Linked DNA regions of Cricetulus griseus. The protein of the gene in region 2 interacts with the protein of the main gene of each other region in a biochemical or structural test. Links are inferred from orthologs where the notes say so. Each region holds a gene or a part of one and is shown on either strand. Other genes may lie near its edges. The genes, in order: Pak1, Bad and Ywhaz.

Region 1 (3,647 bases), about 49 Mb from region 2:
GTACCCTCAGAGTCTATGAGAGAACAACAGAAGTAGGCATTCAGTGTTTTAATGTGTAAAAGAATTGAAAAATAGTGAAAAAAATGCTGTAAGATAATAAAGACAAATATAAATATCCCATAATACCTTATGAAATAACAAGGTCTCTTTGGTGAATGTTACAGTTACTATTATTTAATTACCATCTCACCAAAGACACAGACCCACATATAGGAGCGTTATCATTCCTAAGACTCATACTTACTTAACTTGACAGAGCCATCCATTCCCAGCAGAATGTTGTCACTCTTGATATCTCTGTGAATGACTTGGTTCGAATGTAGGAATTCCAAAGCTTGTAGACACTGTTGAAGTAGTGTGCAAGAAGAAGAAACATATAATCAGAAGACTAACAATAATCTAACCTTCTCATTTTAAGATAAAGGAAGTAAGGCTCCCAGGAAGAGTCAGACCTGCCCCACATAAAGAGGCAGAGCCAGCTATATAACCAAATCTTCTCTCTCCCAACAAAATATTCTTTTAAAACATTATGGGGCAGGGTGTGGGTGGAGAAGGTTGAAGAGATGGCTCAGTGACTACACTAGGCAGCTTACAACTGTCTGTCACTCCAACCTGAGGGTATCCTATGCCTTTGGCCTCCTTGGGCATTCACATACATGTGCACTTAACCCTCCACCCAACACACAACACACACAACTTAAATTTTAATTTAAAACTGCATGCTGGCTTCGTCTTTTCTATCATTATATTTGCATGTCTAGGAAAGGAGACACATGGAAGTGATGTTTGTAGACAGTTTGGGGAAAGGAAGTCTGTATTATTTTGGACACAATGAATTTGACAACCCTATGAAACATGAAGACAAATGTTCAGTGGGCACCTGAATTTATCTTAAGTTCTATACAGAGACTGATATTTACAAATAATTTACAGAGACAGATTTTTTTTCAGCACTGAGAAGTGAAATATGGCCTCATAAATACCAAGCATACACTCTCTCACTGACCCACACTACCAGCTCAAATAGACTTTTATTTCTTTTTGGTTTTTCAAGACAGGGTTTCCAAAGCTTTGGAAGCTGTCCTGTAACTTGCTCAGTAGACAGGGCTGGCCTTGAACTCACGGAGATCCACCTGTCTCTGCCTCCTAAGTGCTGGGATTAAAGACATGCACTACCACTGCCGGGCTGCCGGGCTACAAATAGATTTTTTTTAAGGTTTAGAAATGATTATAACAAGTAAAGGTTATGAGAAAAATCTTAAAAAAAAAAAAGGAAGAAAGAAAAGGAACAAGACAAAGCACCTATTGTGATGATTCCCCAACACATACACACGAGCTTAAACACTTATTTACCCAACAGAATGAGTGACAAATGGTACAATGAAAATGTCTGGTTCTGGGCAAGTAAGATGGCTTAGAGGGTAAAGGAGTGTGCCACCAAGCTTTATAACCTAAACTAGATTCCTGGAATCTACAAGCTGGAGTTGTCCTTTGACCTCCACATGTACACTATGGCATGTACACATCCACATACATGCATGCACACATACACATATACACAAATGCAAAGTGCAAAGAAATTGTTTTCTTTCTTCTCTTTTCTTTTTCTTTTTTCTTTCTTTTTTTTTTTTGTTTGTTTTTTTCGAGATAGGGTTTCTCTGATCTATACTCTCAAGAAACCAATTGTTTAAAAGAAAAAAATCCATACCCTTTAATAGTCACTTCACAAATACACTGAAAATGGTGAATTATATGCTTCATGGGGATGAAGTATATGGCATATGAATGTATCTCAATAAGCTGTTTCAAAAGTGGTAACGATATCCATCATAGTTTAAGAATAACAATAGTACTTATTTAAATAACATTTATACTTTCTTGCCAAGTTTTTTGTTGGTACAGTTCTGGGGAGCAAACTCAGGGCTTGTGTCAAGATGTTATTTATTTTATTTATTTTTACTTGGAGTGAGGTGTATGTGTGCCACAGAGCACATCTGGAGGTCAAAGTACAATGTTGAGAAGTTGTATCTCTCCCTCCTTCATATGGGTTCCAAGGATTGAACTCAGGTCACCAGGCTTTCATCTCAAGGGTAGAGGTGAAAACAAGTTAAATAATGTAATGATTTTTGAACCTCCAAAGGGCAGCTATATGTACACAATTATCCATTGTATCTGTAGTATTAAAATTTCATAGGAAGAATGTTATGGGGGGGCTTCTGGGGAATCATCATTTATTTATTTGTTTGTTTTTGAGACAAGGTTTCTCTGTGTAACAGCTCTGGCTGTACTGGAACTCACTTTATAGGTTGGGCTGAACTCATAGAAATCTGCCAGCCTCTGCCTCCCAAGTGCTGGAATTAAAGGCATATGCCACCATATCGGTTTTCGCCTGGAGTCAATTTTTCCTAGAATTTTGCTGGCTTGCCTCTACATGTCATTCAGAAGCATATTCAAATCAAGGGTGGAACTTTCTCTGACTACCTATCTGAAGTATGACACTACCTTCTTACCAGCGTTATTTCTTTCACAGTACACAAAGCAGGGAGGCAGGAAAAAATGGTTCAAATGTATGTCCAAATGTATGTAAAAGAGATTAAGAGAAATATTATGTGTTAGAATAGCTGTAATTACAGATTTAAAGAATAAATGACTGCTTTAGTATATACTTCTGGGTACCTTTTAATTTTTCTATCATGGTTGGAATGTTAGCTTTAGAGAAAAATATCATGATTATAGAAATTATAAAATACAATAATATAGTATGAATGGTAAGTGCCAGAACTAACTTCTCCCAGTTCCACAGAACCCAGACTGAAGCCTCTTTTGGGTGTGAACATTCATGGACGGTAATATAGAGGTCACTTCCTGTTTTACCCTTGGCCTTACCTCTCGGCACACAGCTGCTATCTGGCCTTCATCCATACAGGTTTCTGTCACCACATCTGTCAAAGAGCCTCCAGCCAAGTATTCCATGACAACCCATAACTCATCTCCCACAAGGTAACTACAGGAAAACAAGTATAGGGCAAGAAGGAATAGTTAGAACACATTAAGGCATTGCAGTGGATTTCAAAACCAAGGGACTAGGATAGAAAGGAAAATATCTCAGTCAGCTTTTGAAGAGTCTAGGGTTCTTTACTCTGAGAAAAGTACAAAATTTGGAGGACATAATCAGTAATTTTAAATCACTTAGGGATAGACCTGGAAAAAACAAAACATACATGGTCTGTGAAGTCCCAAACACTAAAATTAGAATACTAGGTTGAAATATAAAATTACATTTTATTGAAATAGCAAGGGATACCTCCTAAAACTAGAAAGACTAGCATTGTTCTCATACCTGTAAAAGCATACAGGCAGTACATGTTATAGGGATGGGATCTGGAAGCCATATTACCATCAAAAGGGAGGATCATAGGACCTCCTTGAGAGTTCTACTAGATCTGAGATCTACAAGGTCTAGTTCAAGACCCTAGACCCAGGGTCCAACACAATAGATACCAACACTTACTGAATAAATCCATGAGTAAAATAATATGTATGTTAAATATATATTACTATAATATATATTAAGTGAAAGTGTGTCGATAAGTCTTTAAAAGCTGTAAAATGTACACAAGGTTACTACTATGCTGACAATGACTTTT
Region 2 (3,647 bases):
AGTTTTCTCTGTCTGCATGTATCCTTGCAGGCCAGAAGAGGGCACCAGATTTCATAACAGATGGTTGTGAGCCACCGTGTGGTTGCTGGGAATTGAACTCAGGACCTCTGGAAGAGCAGTCAGTGCTCTTAACCTCTGAGCCATCTCTCCAGCCCCTAAGCAAGGATTTAACCCTGCTCATGAAAGCAGATTTGTTGGGAGAAGGAGCACATGTGCCATAGTGCCCAAGTGCTGTTGCAGGTCAGAGGACAGTATGTGGAGGTCATTTTCTTTTTCTCTTTTTTTGTTTGTTTTGTTTTTCGAGACTGGGTTTCTCTGTATTGCTTTGGAGCCTGTCCTGGCACTCTGAATACCAGGCTGGCTTTGAACTCACAGAGATCCACCTGCCTCTGCCTCCCTAGTGCTGGGATTTAAGGCATGTGCCATCAACGCCTGGCTGTGGAGGTCGTTTTCTCCTTCCCACTTTAAATAGATTCCAAGGTTCCCACTCAGGTCTTCAGGCTTATACTGGAAGCTTTACTGGCTGAGCAGTCTCACCAGCCCTTAGTGAAGGGGGTGGTGATGTCACTGAGCTCCCACCAAGGCCACCTGAAAGTCATTCACCTTCCTGCCAGCATAGCACCTGAAAGCTGTGGTTCTAGGGCGTGGGTCCATTATTCAATGCAGATAGGGTGTACCACCAGGAGACTCAGGCATATTCCTTTCAGCTTCTGGCTCTCTTCTCTGTAAGGTGGGAGAACTCTACATCTGCCATACAGGAGCCAAAAAACCATGGCTGCTCACAGGACAAGGTGGAGTGCTTTCCTGCCTTATCTGTTCTCATGATGATTCTGTGAGGCAGGCTGTCCCCATGCCACAAAGACCACTGAGGTGCCAGGGAATTGGGGAAGTGGGTTCACGGTCACAAAAGGGGACCTACCTAGCTGCTGAGTAGTCCCCTGTAATACTCTGTAGATGAGCAATGGTATGTTCTGGCCAGGTGCTGTGAGCAGTCCCAGGCCAGGCCTTTCATGATGGTTCCGTCCTTCCCTCTGGCTTTCTGTTACATGTCTGCAGCTGGGATCCTCAGGCCTCAAGCTGAGCTGCAGAGTTCTGCCCATTGACCTTTGAGAAAGGGAGGCAAACTTTTCAGCCCCCAAACCTGGGGGTGATTTTACCTCCTCCCAAGTTTTCCCTGCAGACACCTGGGTGTGGGCAGCAGGCTGTGCCTAGCTATGGACTCTGCCCCTGGGAGTAGTTCTGGGTCTTCACTGGTCTGGGCAAAGGGGTACAGATGACAGAGGTCAGGACACAGTATCTAGATCAGAGAAGCAGATCACTCAATTCATTGGCAGCTCACAGGGCATGGCTACACTTGCATGAGAACTTCACACTGGTGCATTAGTATGCAGGGTAGGAAGACTCCTTCATGAAGGGAAACTAACTTGGAATTGAAGGGTGGCTGGTCAAGGCAGGAGTTGCACAGCCTGATGATGGACTCTGGGATCCAAACCCAGGGACTTCGGACCTCAGGGCTAGCAGCCTTGTCAACCTGAGAAAACTGACTTCTCTGAACACCTGTGTAGCTATTATCTCCCTCCCATCCCCCCATTTGTGAGAAAAGAAAGACTACATGTTCTCCTGTAGTAGAATGTGGCCTTGAACTCAACCTCCGGCTTCCACCTCACCAGTGCTGGTATTATAAATATGAACCACCACGCCCAGGACAAACTTCTATGTCGATCTGTAGAACCAGGTGGTGAGGATAGTCTCAGAAAAATAAAACAAAACAAAGAAACCCACAGTTCTAGACATTGTCGCCACAAAATATGGAATGTAGAGACTTCTTGTTCTCCAAGACCCTTGCAAAGACTAAGCAGGACTCCTCCCTAGTTAGGAGTTGCTATGTGATAGTTATCTCTTATGCCCCTATTTTGGAAAGGCACAGTAGAAAGTCTTTTGTACACTAAAGGCGTACTGGCACTCTGAGCTCCCTCCATTTGCAAAGGAGGAATTGGGACTATTGGAAGGCGAGTGTGAACAGCGGGTCGAGATTCACACCTCTTCCACCCCATCCCTGCAGGCACTGGGGCTATGGAGATCCGGAGTCGCCACAGTTCATACACCGCGGGGAACGAGGAGGATGACGGGATGGAGGAGGAGCTCAGCCCATTTCGCGGCCGCTCACGTTCGGCTCCCCCTAATCTCTGGGCTGCGCAGCGCTACGGCCGCGAGCTCCGAAGGATGAGCGATGAGTTTGAGGGTTCCTTCAAGGTGAGCGCCTGCGTAGGGTGCGACGGGACCTACACCCGCTTGCCCCGTCTGCTATCTATGGCGTTTCGGGATTTGTAGTTCCAGAACCACCAGGTTGTCCCTTTCGTGTTCCAGGGCATGCCGGGACTTGCAGTTCTAATCCGCCCCCTGTCGTGAAACCTCTGGCTCTGAGGTTTCACTTAGGGTCCCAGCAGTCTCTGGGCTCCAACCAATCCCGATTCCTGAGAGCCCTCTCATCTAATAGCGTGTCTGACCTCCAAGTGTAGGTGGCAGTGATCTTTATATTCCAACTCAATGTGGGGAGTTGATTCGGGACCACAGGGCGAGGCTCATTCATTTAACTCTTTACTCTCCTTCCCCGAAGGGACTTCCTCGCCCAAAGAGCGCAGGAACTGCAACACAGATGCGACAAAGCGCCAGCTGGACGCGCATTATCCAGTCCTGGTGGGATCGAAACTTGGGCAAAGGAGGCTCCGCCCCCTCTCAGTGATCTTCTGCTCCACATTCCCGGAACTCTACCCGCTCCCGTCGCCCGCCATATTGGGTGTGGGCGGAAGTTTTCCGAAGCCGTGGGGATAAAAAGGGGGTCGCTGTGTCCCTTTAACTGGGAGAACTGGCCAACGGCTAGACTCCCTTCCGGTGCGTGCAATAGCCACGAAGGGGTGGTTCTCGTTGGAAGTTTAAAAGTTTCCGCCTCCCCCACCCCAACTTCCGGAAGTGGCAACTTTTCCCTCTCTCCAGTACCAGGCTGGCGCCTGCGCTACCCCAACTTCCGGAAGCGGCAACTTTTCCCCCTTTCCCGTACCGGGCTGCCCTCCTGCGCCAAATTGCGAGCCGGGTTACATCGTGACTTGGCTGCAGCCCTATTATGTGAACTGGGAGCTCGTGGTCGCAACAAACGTGCTTTATAATAAAGCCCGCGCCTGTGCTACCGCATCTTCCGTCCTTCGTTTGGGGTTCCGCAAACCGGACTATTTCTGATAACTTTAAGCGACTCCTTTTACCCGTAAGGGAAACAGGCTCCGTCCAAGGACTGAGATCAAGAAGTCGAGGTGGCCAGCGGAGCCCGGCTGCTAGGCTTAGTGGTGAGGGAGCGGATCCTGGCCAGACCCCTGGGACCGCCAGGCCCTTATCTCTAATATGGTAATTGGGAGCTGCAGGCCAGCCGGCCGCCGGAATTCAGCGCTCTACAAACCATGCTGCGGCTCCCCCGGGGCGGGGGGTGGGGGGTCATTTGCTCCTATTTGGGTCAGTCCTTGTGAGCAGCTACTGTGTGACCGGCCTGGGGCCTGTGCTGCTCAGGGACCTGGCGGGGCACGCTGGGCGGGGCGACACAATCACTAGGGAACGGAGAAGCTTCTCATGGGGACCTGGAGCGGGGCCCAGAGCTCAGT
Region 3 (3,747 bases), on a different chromosome or scaffold from region 2:
GCGCCTACTACAAAGCTGGAAACCTGGAATCTTTTGAAGTGTTAGTCACCTACGAAGTGAGTCACTCCCTGCAAGAGTCTCCATGAGAGCCTGCATCGGTTTGCTCATCTATCTGTTTTAGCGGTGCTGTGGATCTGTGGATGTGCAGACTCGGGGTGGGTGGGTCAGGGGAAAGCGATCACAGGCAACTCTCGAGCTACCTATCTGCCATTTCAGGGAAATGATCATTTGTAGAGCAAGCTTATGACCAGACCATGTATCCGACAGACAGACACTGAGTTGGGGGAAGAACAGCTTGTCGTGGAATCTTCTGGAGAGCTATGGGCTGAATACTTTTTCCCCCCTTTTCTTTTTTCCAGCCAGCAGGAGCTGGGTAAAGGCGTTTGCTTCAACTCAGGACGCACGTTTAAAGGACGCAAGGGCACACGCTTCACGCTGAGAATGCTTCTCCCTCCGCTTCCGTCTGCTGGGTGGAGACCTTGCGGGTGCAGGCACCTGCAATTTCCGCCCTCTTCCTACCCCCTCTTCCGGGCCCAGGCGCTCCCGCCCCTGCTCGGGCGAGCGGCCCCCCTCCCACTGTCAGATGGGGGGCCCCGAGAGCGAGCAGCCAGTATCCCCAAGGTGGCTCCCAGGACCTAAAAGGCTCTTTGAGAGCGTTAAGTGGAGACAACGAGCCTCCCCGTCAAAGCCCGGCTGTGTGTGTGTGTGGGGGGGGGGGGGCAACAGTGCAGCGCCCGGAGATCGGCTCGCTGTGTGAGCCTGTGTCCCCCCAGCTCGCACAAGCCCTTCCCCTCTCCTCCCGGAGACCCCCCATTGTCTCCCTGGCTGTCACGGTCTGTGCGGGGCGACAGGAGGGACAGCGGGCGGCTCGCCCGAGCCTTAAAAGGTCTAAGGCCGCTTTACTGCAGCGGTGGGCGAGCGGGCGAGCTAGCAAGCGGCCACGCCCGCTGCCGCCCCGCAACCGGGGCTCTGATCACAATGCCCCGGCCGCAGAGCCCGCCGTCATTACCGGGGCGGCCGGGAGGGGGAGGGGCGGGTGGGGGGGGGGGAAGACGCGAAAGGTCCCGGATGTGCCCGCCAGTAGAGGTGTAGGGGGGAGGGAGCGGCTTCCTTCCGCGGGCCGCAGGGGCGGCGCGGGAGGGAGGAGGGAAGGAGGAAGGAGGGCGGCTCGCGGGGGCGGCGGGGGCGAGCCGAGCGCGCGGGAGGAGGAGGAGGAGGAGGCAGGGTCGGGGACGCGCTCTCCCTGAGCTCGCCTCGGGCGGGCAAGCGAGCGGGTGGGCGGGGCGGGCGCGCGCCGGGGGAGCGGCGGTTGCGCCGGGCACCAATCAACGGTTGCCATAGCAGCGTTTGACGTCATTGTGCGTGTGGTGCCCCTGCTGCCGGGGCTAGTGATTGGAGGAAACCCCGTGTCTGCGGAGCCGCTGTAGCCTGTGAGCAGCCAGATCAGGGACAGAGTCTCAGCCTCGCCGCCGCCGCCGCCCAGGGACACTGCCGACCGGGTCCGTGTGCCGCCACCCACTCCGGACACAGGTGAGCAGCCTCCCGGGCTGGCCCCTCCGCCGCTCGCCCGCCCCGCCGCGGCGGGCGTCCCCAAGGATCCTGGACCCGGGCGGCGGCTCGTCCCGCCGAGCCCCGGGCGAGCGCCCACGGCCGCCCCCGGGCCGCTTGCTGCTGGCCCTGCCGGGGTGCTGGTCGCCCCGTCCGCCCGTGTCCCGTGTCCCCGGGGGTGGGGGTGGCGGAGGAGGCGCCCACGCGCGAGACCCTCCCGGGTTTGGGGGGGGTAGGGCTGAAGCTCGGGCGAGCGGGCGAGCGCCATCCGCCCCCGCCGGCACCCGCTTCCGCCGCGGCTGGGACCGGGGCCGTGGCGCAGGTGAGGCGGCCCCCACCCCGCCGTGGCGCCCCCGCCGCCCCTCCCCCGCCGCGCGGGCAGCCAGGTAGCGCGCGCGCGAGAGAGAGCGAGTCTCCGGGGTGGGGCCGGCTCGCCCTCCCGCTTGCCCTCCCGCCGGGGACCCGGGGCTGAGCTTCCTGGGTCCCTCTCGGTGGCTCACTCGCTCGCACGCTCGCACACTCGGTGGGTGGGTGGGTGGTTGGGGGAGGGGCTCGGCCTGGGCGCCCCGGGGACGCAGGGGGGTCTCCGGCCGGGTGGGAGGTGAGCATCCTTCGGGGAGAGCGGGGGCTGCGCCGGTCTGGGTGGGGCCCGGCCCCTCCCATCCCCCTCCTCCTCCTCCGCAGCTGTCGGGGGCGGGAGGGGGGACCCCGGGAGGGAGAGAGCGGGGTGTGTCCGGTGCGGGTCGGCCGCCGTCGGTTCCGCTCGTGCGGGCGCCGCTGGCTGGCATCGGGGGGCCCCCTCCGGGTAGGGCGAGCCGCTCGCCGCCGCCTCCTCCCCCCCACCTCCACCACCCCACCCCACCCGACCCGACCGCTCCTCCCTCTCGGCTCGGCGGTGCTCGGGTTGGGTTGGGCTCCTTGACACAGTTCCGCCATGACAAAGAGAGAGAGAGGGCGAGCGAGCGAGCCGGGGACCGGCGGAGGCGCCAGCCTGGGCGGAGCCAAGAAGGGGAGGTGGCTGCGGGCGGCGCGGACGCGAGCGAGGACTGGCGCTGGCTTTAAAAAGTCTGGGGCGCGGTTTCGGCTCGCCCCCGCTCGCCCGCCCGCCCGCCCCGGGCAGGCGAGGGTTAAGTGGGTGCGGCGAGGGCTCCCGCAGTGTAGATGCTGGTTCTTCGTGTGCTTCCCGCGGGGAACCGGGCGGCTGAGGTCGGCGGGGGTGGGGCCGCCGGGGCCGCGCTGACATCACTTCCCAGGGCCGTTTCTGGTGTGAGGTTTCCAGACCGCAAAGGGTTAACTCGGCCTAGCCAGGCCCCGGCGCTTGTTTCAGTTGAGGATGCTTCTCATTGATTTAACGCCCCCTCCCTCCCCACACCACACCACCCCTCCCCACCCCCCAAAAAAGCGATTTCTGGAAAGGTTAAAGGAAAGGGTGCGATGGTGGCCTTGGGTGGTGGCGGTGCATTGGGCAGTGACTGTCATGGAAATTCATTTCCTGGGATCCCTGTGGTTGAGAACCGTGCTCTTGACCCCGTTCAAGGAAAGAAAAAAAAAAAAAGTTGATCAGAAATAAATTGGGATCTAGGGAACTTGAACTGCAAAGGAGATTGGCGGAGAAGACGTTAGGGCCGACTTAATAAATGGTGACTTGGAGAAAAGCCATGCAGGGGGAGTCTGCACCTAAACTGCAGTGTGACATCGCAGGGGGCGCCTGCGCTTGGGTTGGCCCTGAGTGCTCGCTCCCTGCTGCGCAAAGTGTGCATGTAACTCCATGTAGATGGGTCTGTCTGGTCTCGGGGCGAGTGATCCCTAGTGGTTTTATATTCAGGGTATCCTAAGCATCAGTCAGTCAGTTTCCTCAGATAGTTTTCATCCAGGAAGTGTAGCAGATCGGGCTGGAGAAAGTGCTAGGTAAAAGGTAATCCACTCGGGGTCAGAGTGCACACACTGAAGGTTAGCTGGCCTGACTCACGGTTCTGCGAGTGGAGTGCTCTTCATGGACCTTCTAGGTCCGGATCTGGAGTGTTCTCCCCAACGCACTCACGCACACACACACTCACACACACTCACACTCACACTCACACTCACACTTACCCTCTCACTGTAGGGAAAGGTGGTGAAGTGTAGGTCACTCTGCATTGGGATTAAGTTGAGCTTTTTAAGAAAACAAGTGTGTTGGAATACACAGCAAGGGACAGCAGG

What was found.
Region 1: of the proteins of Bad (region 2) and Pak1, one has a biochemical effect on the other in vitro, tested with the Homo sapiens proteins (3 studies listed by BioGRID). The link is inferred for Cricetulus griseus from reciprocal best matches to the Homo sapiens genes BAD and PAK1.
Region 3: the proteins of Bad (region 2) and Ywhaz form a complex in vitro, tested with the Homo sapiens proteins (3 studies listed by BioGRID). The link is inferred for Cricetulus griseus from reciprocal best matches to the Homo sapiens genes BAD and YWHAZ.

What each region holds. Positions count from the first base shown.
Region 1 is NC_048596.1:101,611,240-101,614,886, forward strand, and holds part of Pak1 (serine/threonine-protein kinase PAK 1), read right to left. Parts: intron 3,005-3,647; coding exon 2,887-3,004; intron 345-2,886; coding exon 245-344; intron 1-244. UniProt on the Homo sapiens protein: Protein kinase involved in intracellular signaling pathways downstream of integrins and receptor-type kinases that plays an important role in cytoskeleton dynamics, in cell adhesion, migration, proliferation, apoptosis, mitosis, and in vesicle-mediated transport processes.
Region 2 is NC_048596.1:52,504,815-52,508,461, reverse strand, and holds the end of Bad (bcl2-associated agonist of cell death), read left to right. Parts: intron 1-2,062; coding exon 2,063-2,253; intron 2,254-2,617; coding exon 2,618-2,743; 3' UTR 2,744-3,189; downstream 3,190-3,647. UniProt on the Homo sapiens protein: Promotes cell death. Successfully competes for the binding to Bcl-X(L), Bcl-2 and Bcl-W, thereby affecting the level of heterodimerization of these proteins with BAX. Can reverse the death repressor activity of Bcl-X(L), but not that of Bcl-2.
Region 3 is NC_048603.1:14,723,518-14,727,264, forward strand, and holds the start of Ywhaz (14-3-3 protein zeta/delta), read left to right. Parts: upstream 1-1,390; 5' UTR 1,391-1,530; intron 1,531-3,747.